Linked DNA regions of Rattus norvegicus. The protein of the gene in region 1 purifies or fractionates together with the protein of each later gene. This does not show direct contact. Links are inferred from orthologs where the notes say so. Each region holds a gene or a part of one and is shown in the gene's direction. Other genes may lie near its edges.

Region 1 (4,155 bases):
TCTGCCTCCACCTCTCTATTGTTTGGGAGGTAGGGCAGGCACAATCTAATTTTTCCTTTCTATTTGTTCACTTAGAGATTAAACCTAAAGCTGTGCCTCAGGTTGTCCAGGTAGTCTCTAGGTAGCCCAAGCTGACCTTGAACTTCTCTTGCCTTCTAGTCAGGATTCTGGGATTAACCGTGTGAACCACTCCTGCTCTTATTCTAATGAATCATTTTGTATCTCCTTAAAGGTTTGAGGATACTTAGTATTTTTCAAAACCCTGGAAAGAAAAGCTTACGAGCTCTGACTTGGGCCCATTCAATTCCCATCTTCCCTCTCAGTTCCAGGACATTGCCACAGACTCACCTAATGAATAAAATCAACTAACTGGAAAACAAAACACAACAAAAAAACCAACAAAACAAAACAAAACAAAAAGAAACAAACAAAAGCCCTTGCAAGTGTCTGAGATGGAGGCACTATATAAAGACTAGCATTCTCTTAGTCTGTCCACTCCAGTCTATACTGACAAGATGACCAGGATGTCTTCAGTGTCTAAAGGCCCGAATCTCCCAGAGATTTTACACACACCTCCATTCTTTTGGGACATCAGCTCCATGCAGATTCTCCATGATCCTTGCAATTTTGTTTCTCTTTTGAAAACCCCTGAGACACCTCCCATGGAAACAGAAGGGCAATTCTTTCATTCCTGTCTTGGGATCACAAAGAACTAGACACTGTGTATCAGGGAAGGAGCACACAGTTCTCAGGATTTTCCGCTGAGCTGTGCAGTCTGGCCTTCCCAGACCTTCTGCGGTGGGCAGCTGGCAGGGCGTGCCCAACCCACCTTCCAACTCAGGCACCTCAGATCTCATCTAATTACTATATTTCCCCAAACCTCTTTTCGTACAAAATCCTCTCTCAGGAATAGAGGCTAGGAATCGAGAGGTCATTTTTCATGAAAAATAAAATAAAATCACACACACACACACACACACACACACACACACACACACACACACACACACACACACACACACACACACACACACACACACGCGATACCCCCTAATCCTCCCACAGTACCCACCCATCTTTAACTTCTTTTTGCAGCGTGGACAATAGAGAACTACAACTCCCAAAAAGGACTGCGCTCGCCACTGGCTCAGAGACCAATGGCCGTCTGGCACGTGATCCGCTGGTCTAATCAGCGACTGGTTGGGTAGGCTTTGTCTGCAACCCGAGGCGCCCGCCCATCTCCCGCCCCCGGCCGCGCGAACGCGCGCCCCGCCCTGCGCGCCTTCCCTCCTGCGCTCGCCGGCCTCTTCTGCCTCTTAGAACCTTCCTGCGGTCGTGCTCGCATCTCTCTGCAGCAGCCTCCGGGGCTACGTTCCATCCTATCAGTCTGAGACCAGCCCAGAAGAAAAAAACCAAAAATCCTTAATTATCTTCTTTTGCTCGGTACCTACATTGGGACCATCAAAAAAAGATTATTACAGTAAACCGTAGCCATGAGGGAAATCGTGCACATCCAGGCCGGACAGTGTGGCAACCAGATCGGTGCTAAGGTAAGAATTTTATAATTTTAGATGAAATATGTAAGGATGAGATATCTGTGTTAATCGTGAGCAATGCTAACGGGGCGTTTGCATTCTCCGCTCGTCAGATTTGGCCCCTCAAAGTTTTGTACGTATAAATATAACCCATATTTGTAGCTAGCGTTCTAATATTGAGAAAATGTTTTTCTTGGCACATCTTCGGAAAGCTATTAAGAGACGCTTTTGAGTTCGGGGAAAAGGAGAGGCTGGGGGACTCTAAAGAACTGGTATTAAAAGGGGTTTTCTAACGGTCCGAGGACAGGAGGGATGCGGAAACGATCCGAGACAAAGCCGAGGCGAGGTTTTCCCCTTGCGCCACCCCCACCCCGCCTGGAGGGCCCTACTGGAACAGAATGGAGGGGGAAGGGGCGAGGTTTGGCGGGCAGCTGCAGAGATGCCCCGGTGCGCATTACCTCAACAAAGGCTTGGATACTCCATAGAACCCGCCTTCCCAAGGCTTTTTTTAGATTATGATTCTATGTAGGGCACTACTTTTACTTTTCATTGCCCTTAAAAGAGGTCTTAGGGTGTGAGCGGACAGAAAGTGTGAGCTTTTCAAGTATGTGAGAGACTGTCGGGGAGATTAAGGAGAGAGAAAGAAGGAAGGGAATAAAGATCGGAGGCCATGGGGTTTTTAAAAATTTTCCCCCCGTTTGCGGGCAATTGCCCTGTAGCGGGGGAGGGGGAGGGAGGAAGTGCGGCCGCTACATTGCAGCCGAAGGGTGGGACCCTCTTGGGGGCGGGGCTGGAGCCCCTGGCGCGCAGGGACAATGCGGCCCGGGCCCGCGGGGGCGCACTGGCCCCGCCCCTCGAGCTAGGCCCCGCCCGCACTGCTCCCGCCTTTGTGGTTTGCTGGAGGAGCGGCCCGCCACCGCAGTCACGTGGAGCGCGTAAGGGGTGGGCGACTGCAGTGGCCGCACCTTTCTCCCCCAACCCTCTTTTGTGCTGGCCAGGAAGGGCGGTGCCTGGCTTCAGGAACCAAACCTAGGTGCTGAGCCAAGAAGGTGGGCGCCAATCCGCCCATGTAGATGCTTACAGTCCCCGGCCCTTTGAATCGCCAGTCATCCGTCCTATCCACTAAGGTTGTAACCTTCCGGGGCGTAGGCTCCTCGGTAGAGGGTTCCGCAAGCAGATAACGGAATTGCAGTGTCTGCACCACAGCTTCGTTTGAGCATGTCTGGAATCGAAATGAGGGGCGGGCGGCATCCCTTAGGACTTGAGCCATTGAGGCCTCACTGCTCTCTTCCTTATGCAGTTCTGGGAGGTGATAAGCGATGAACACGGCATCGACCCCACCGGCACCTACCACGGAGACAGCGACTTGCAGCTGGACCGAATCTCTGTGTACTACAATGAAGCTACAGGTGAGGGAAGAAATCCCGATTCTTCTGCGTGCCCCCCTATTGAGACAGGGACCCCATTCATCACTGGCCGCCCTGGAACTCACATAGATCGGTCTACCTTCCAAGTGTTGGGTTTAAAGGCAGCATCACCACCCTGTTTTCCCACACTTGGGTATCAGTTACCCCTCTGTGAGACTCCCATTTTTCCCCCCTTACACACACACCTTATGGGGCTGAAGGTTGGCTCTACTGCCACCAGGTGGTAGTGCCTGGAATGACAACTTTAGTGATATGTGGCTGATTTCTCCACCCCAAATTTGAGCTATTTCATCGCTGATCGAACATCTTGAATACTTGTAGGTGGCAAGTATGTCCCTCGAGCTATCTTAGTGGATCTAGAACCCGGGACTATGGACTCCGTTCGCTCAGGTCCTTTTGGCCAGATCTTCAGACCGGACAACTTTGTTTTTGGTGAGTTATGTGGAACGGATTCCCATGTGTCCCCCAGTGGGATTATTTCAAACGTTGAAAGATTAAGAAGTATTGTGTTTCTCTCATATGTGATTAGGCTTTTTAAATTTTTCCCCCTTATTACATTCCAGGTCAGTCTGGGGCAGGCAACAACTGGGCTAAGGGTCACTACACAGAGGGAGCTGAGCTGGTTGACTCTGTCTTGGATGTGGTGCGGAAGGAGGCGGAGAGCTGTGACTGCCTGCAAGGCTTTCAGCTGACCCATTCGCTGGGTGGAGGCACGGGCTCTGGCATGGGCACCCTGCTCATCAGCAAGATTCGAGAAGAATACCCCGACCGCATCATGAACACCTTTAGCGTGGTGCCCTCACCCAAAGTGTCTGACACCGTGGTTGAGCCCTACAACGCCACCCTGTCCGTCCACCAGTTGGTAGAGAACACAGATGAGACCTACTGCATTGACAACGAGGCCCTCTACGACATCTGCTTCCGTACCCTTAAGCTCACCACGCCAACCTACGGAGACCTGAACCATCTCGTCTCTGCCACCATGAGCGGTGTCACCACCTGCCTCCGTTTCCCGGGCCAGCTGAACGCCGACCTTCGGAAGCTGGCTGTCAACATGGTGCCCTTCCCGCGTCTCCACTTCTTTATGCCTGGCTTTGCCCCTCTCACCAGCCGTGGAAGCCAGCAGTACCGGGCCCTCACTGTGCCTGAACTCACCCAGCAGGTCTTCGACGCCAAGAACATGATGGCCGCCT
Region 2 (3,649 bases), on another chromosome or scaffold:
AAGGAAATGCTAATGTTGCAGGTAAGAGGTGAGCAGCTATGGGAGGGTGGGTAGGAGATGGGACAAGAGCAGACGTGCTCCCTAGCATTTTGTCTGTGTATCTGTGTGATCCCCCTCTCCACCTCCCCAGCTTCCCTGAAAACCCTGAGCGGCTCCATGCCATCAAAGAGCAGCTGATCCTGGAGGGCCTCCTGGGCCGCTGTGTGTCCTTTCAGGTGACTCCTCCACAGCCTTCAAAGGGTGGGTGGGGAACTGGCAGGACCTACGCATGGCCTGCACTTTAGCCTGTTTGCCTTGTGTCTCCCCAGGCCCGGTTCGCCGAGAAGGAGGAACTGATGTTGGTTCACAGGTGAAAACATAGGAGTTGATAGAACAGGGAGGAGGATCCCCGTGCCCAACCTGGATAGACTGAATGCTTAGGAGAGAATCCCATAGACTCTGTGGCCAGCCTTGAGCAAGTCCCTGAGCCTCTCTGAATCTGCGTCATGGCTAAAATACCCAAGTTCCAGCCAAGTGTGTTGATACATGCCTATAATCAATCCATCACTTGGGATGTGAAGACAAGAGAATCAGGAAATCAAGATAGCCTCAGCTACATAGCAGGTTTAACTTGGGTTTATGAGACCCTGTCTAAAAAAAGCCTCCTAGCCCCTAAAGAAAAGAAATCTAAGTCCTTCAGGGGGATCAGTGTGTATCAGGTACCTGACAGCATCTTAAACCTGTGAAGGGCTGGTGTCATTATAATCTGGTTCATTGGCTGATGCTAGATACTTGTCAAAGTGACCAGGAGGGTCCTGGGGACTAAAGAAGCTCAAAGGAAGGAGCCTGGTACAGTGTGGCTCACAGAAGAACCAGTTTGGCAGAGAGAATATATGAGCTGAGATCCAAGAGGCAAAAAAGTGGGTGAGTCTAGGGAAGAGAAGGACTGAGGAAAGGAAGATTCAACAGAACTGTAACTATATAGCCAGAGGCCTTGAAGTACAAGTTGATGTCTTTCAACAGGGAACTAAATACATAACTGGGGATGGGGGAGGCTAGAAAGGAAGCAGGGACTGCAGCCTAAATCCCAGCTGAACCCCTCGGCTGACTGGAAGCCTGATTTGACAAGAGTTCTGGTTGTAGAAGGTATGGCTGGAAAGGGACCAGGGCTGTAAAACCTCTATCTTGTGTCTCCAGCCTGGAATACATTGATCTGATGGAGACAACCCAGTACATGAATGAAGGAGAACTTCGAGTTCTTGCAGGCACCTATGATTCCGTTTATCTGCATCCGGTATGGAGAGAACTGTGGGGTCAGGGCGTGGCAGCATCTCTGGGGTATCTCCCGTATCCATGCCAACCTCACTGTGGGAATGAGAAGCTAAATGAATAGGGCAATGCTTTCCCTCTCTCTAACTCTTTCTCTCTGGTTTCCCATGGTCTCCAGAACTCATATTCATGTGCCTGCCTAGCTACAGGCTCTGTCCTCAGGCTGGTAGATGCAGTTATGGGGGCTGAGATTCGGAATGGCATGGCCGTCATCAGGTAGGACTCTTAAGCATTTGGCTTCTTACATGTTTTCAAAAGTATATCCGGGGCAGGGATTAAAAAAAAAGTATTTCCACATAGTGGTATATAGAGGTGCATATCTGTAATACCCGGATTTTGGAGGTGGATGTCAAAGGAAGGCTTGGGAGTTCAGGGCTAGCGTCAGTTATATAAATTTGAGGCCAGCCTGGGCTATATTAAAAAAAAAGTCTTCCAAATGTAAAATGTATTAACTCGGGTACTGTGTCTTCCTGTGGTTGAAGAGTCAAGTGACACGAAGGGGGTTCAATAAAACTCTCTTTCCTCTGTGTTGGTGGATTCCTGAAAGGTGCCCATTGTCACCAGTAACTTCTGTGTCCTCTCAGCAGTAGTTTTACTCAATTAGTAAGTAATAAGTCCCACAGTTCATTGATTCAGGGGGCTATATCTGGAACATCTTGAAATCCAGATGCACCCAGCATTGCATGACATCTGAAGCTTCAGCCGGTGGCATTTTCTGTTTCGTTGTTGCCCATGGAAGGTCAGAACATCTTGCTGCAGCTGACTTCCTAGAACTGATAAAAACGTAGAAGATAGCCTTTGTCCCCTGCAGTCCCTTTTTAACCACCACGGGCAGTAAAAAAAAAAACACCCATTTGGACATCTTTGAAAGCTGTCTCTTAACAGTACTTGGCTTATACCTGAGTAAGATGCCATCGTGCATACTTTTAAGTTAGTCACTCCCATGCTGGTGGGGAGTTTGGTTTTCTTCTATCTTTGCTGCTTCAAATACCATAGCAAATACCAGTGGCACATTTCTAAGGATAGCACTTTTTATTATATAGGTCTCAGCTAAGCCTATGTAGCAAAATGACTGGCTATGAAAGAGTATGCACAGATAGCTTCTTTTTTTTTTTTTAATTTTTGAGACTGGAGCTTGCTATACATTCTAGGCAGGCCTTGAACTATAGATCCTCCTACTTCAAATTCTTTCTTTGAGTGTTAGTATTACAGGCATATGTCACAATGCCAAATGGGTGTGCAGGCACCTTTTGGTGGTTCTGTTTAGCTCTCCTTTGATGAGAGAGCGTTGTTACTCAGTTGCTAGCAGTCTTAGAGACTCTCTACTAGAAGAATTGGGAACATGGGAGAGTCCGTCTCTGTGGAGGAAGCCTCCCGAGTCTGTAGCCTTCCGTTTCCTGCCTAGGCCTCCTGGACACCATGCTCAGCGCAGTCTTATGGATGGGTATTGCATGTTCAACCACCTGGCTGTGGCTGCCCGCTATGCACAAAAGAAGCACCGCATTCAGAGGTCAGTAGCAAACGACACATGGAATGTGGGTAGCATCGAATGGGGAGGTGCTGGGGTTAGGGTGTTCCTCTGTATTTTACTCAGTCCCCTGCTCCTCTCGCCGGCTCACAGGATTCTCATCGTGGACTGGGATGTGCACCATGGTCAAGGAACACAGTTCATCTTCGACCAGGACCCCAGGTATATATCCCATGTCCCACCCTAAGTACTGGATTCTTAAGTACTGCTAACCATCAGGCCCAGCCATAGGGGCTAGGAAGCCATTCATACTCAGTTGTCCTGGAACCTGGAAGTGTACTATTTCCTTGTCATCTGCTGTCTATTAATTTCACTCTGAAGCAGGAACTGTGGTGTTCCCATTTCACAGATGGTCAAACTGAACTTTACAAGTTACAGTGTCAGGCAGTGAACGACATGGGGTTTGACTTAATATTCGGATATCTTGTTCAGCAATTTACCCCTGAGCTGGAGGGGACCTCAGATTAGTGCTTTGTTTTTTCAATTATGACAACACTTCAAACTATTCTTAAAAATTAGTCAATATACATATTGACATATGAACATACCCCCAACAACAGTTTAGGTTATAGACTCAGTTGGTATGCATATATAAATACTCATTATTATTATTAATAACATACTACCAATAGGATATTCTTTCACATGTTCACTGGCAACTAGCTCATAGAACAGTGTACTGGAGACACAGTTACTACGTTGGTGCTAGAAAAGCATTTTATCCTTTGTAAACCCTGTGAAGAGAGGTACACACCTTTCATCCCAGAACTTGAGAGGCAGAGGCAGGTGGATTCCTGTGATGAGGCCAGCGTG

What was found.
Region 2: the proteins of Tubb5 (region 1) and Hdac6 purify together in Homo sapiens (affinity purification with mass spectrometry; 4 studies listed by BioGRID, with this or other methods). This does not show direct contact. The link is inferred for Rattus norvegicus from reciprocal best matches to the Homo sapiens genes TUBB and HDAC6.

The regions. Positions count from the first base shown.
Region 1 is NC_086038.1:2,916,280-2,920,434, forward strand, and holds the start of Tubb5 (tubulin beta-5 chain), read left to right. Parts: upstream 1-1,297; 5' UTR 1,298-1,493; coding exon 1,494-1,550; intron 1,551-2,835; coding exon 2,836-2,944; intron 2,945-3,283; coding exon 3,284-3,394; intron 3,395-3,525; coding exon 3,526-4,155. UniProt on the Homo sapiens protein: Tubulin is the major constituent of microtubules, a cylinder consisting of laterally associated linear protofilaments composed of alpha- and beta-tubulin heterodimers.
Region 2 is NC_086039.1:17,226,153-17,229,801, forward strand, and holds part of Hdac6 (histone deacetylase 6), read left to right. Parts: intron 1-130; coding exon 131-215; intron 216-308; coding exon 309-349; intron 350-1,176; coding exon 1,177-1,273; intron 1,274-1,426; coding exon 1,427-1,524; intron 1,525-2,713; coding exon 2,714-2,818; intron 2,819-2,929; coding exon 2,930-2,998; intron 2,999-3,649.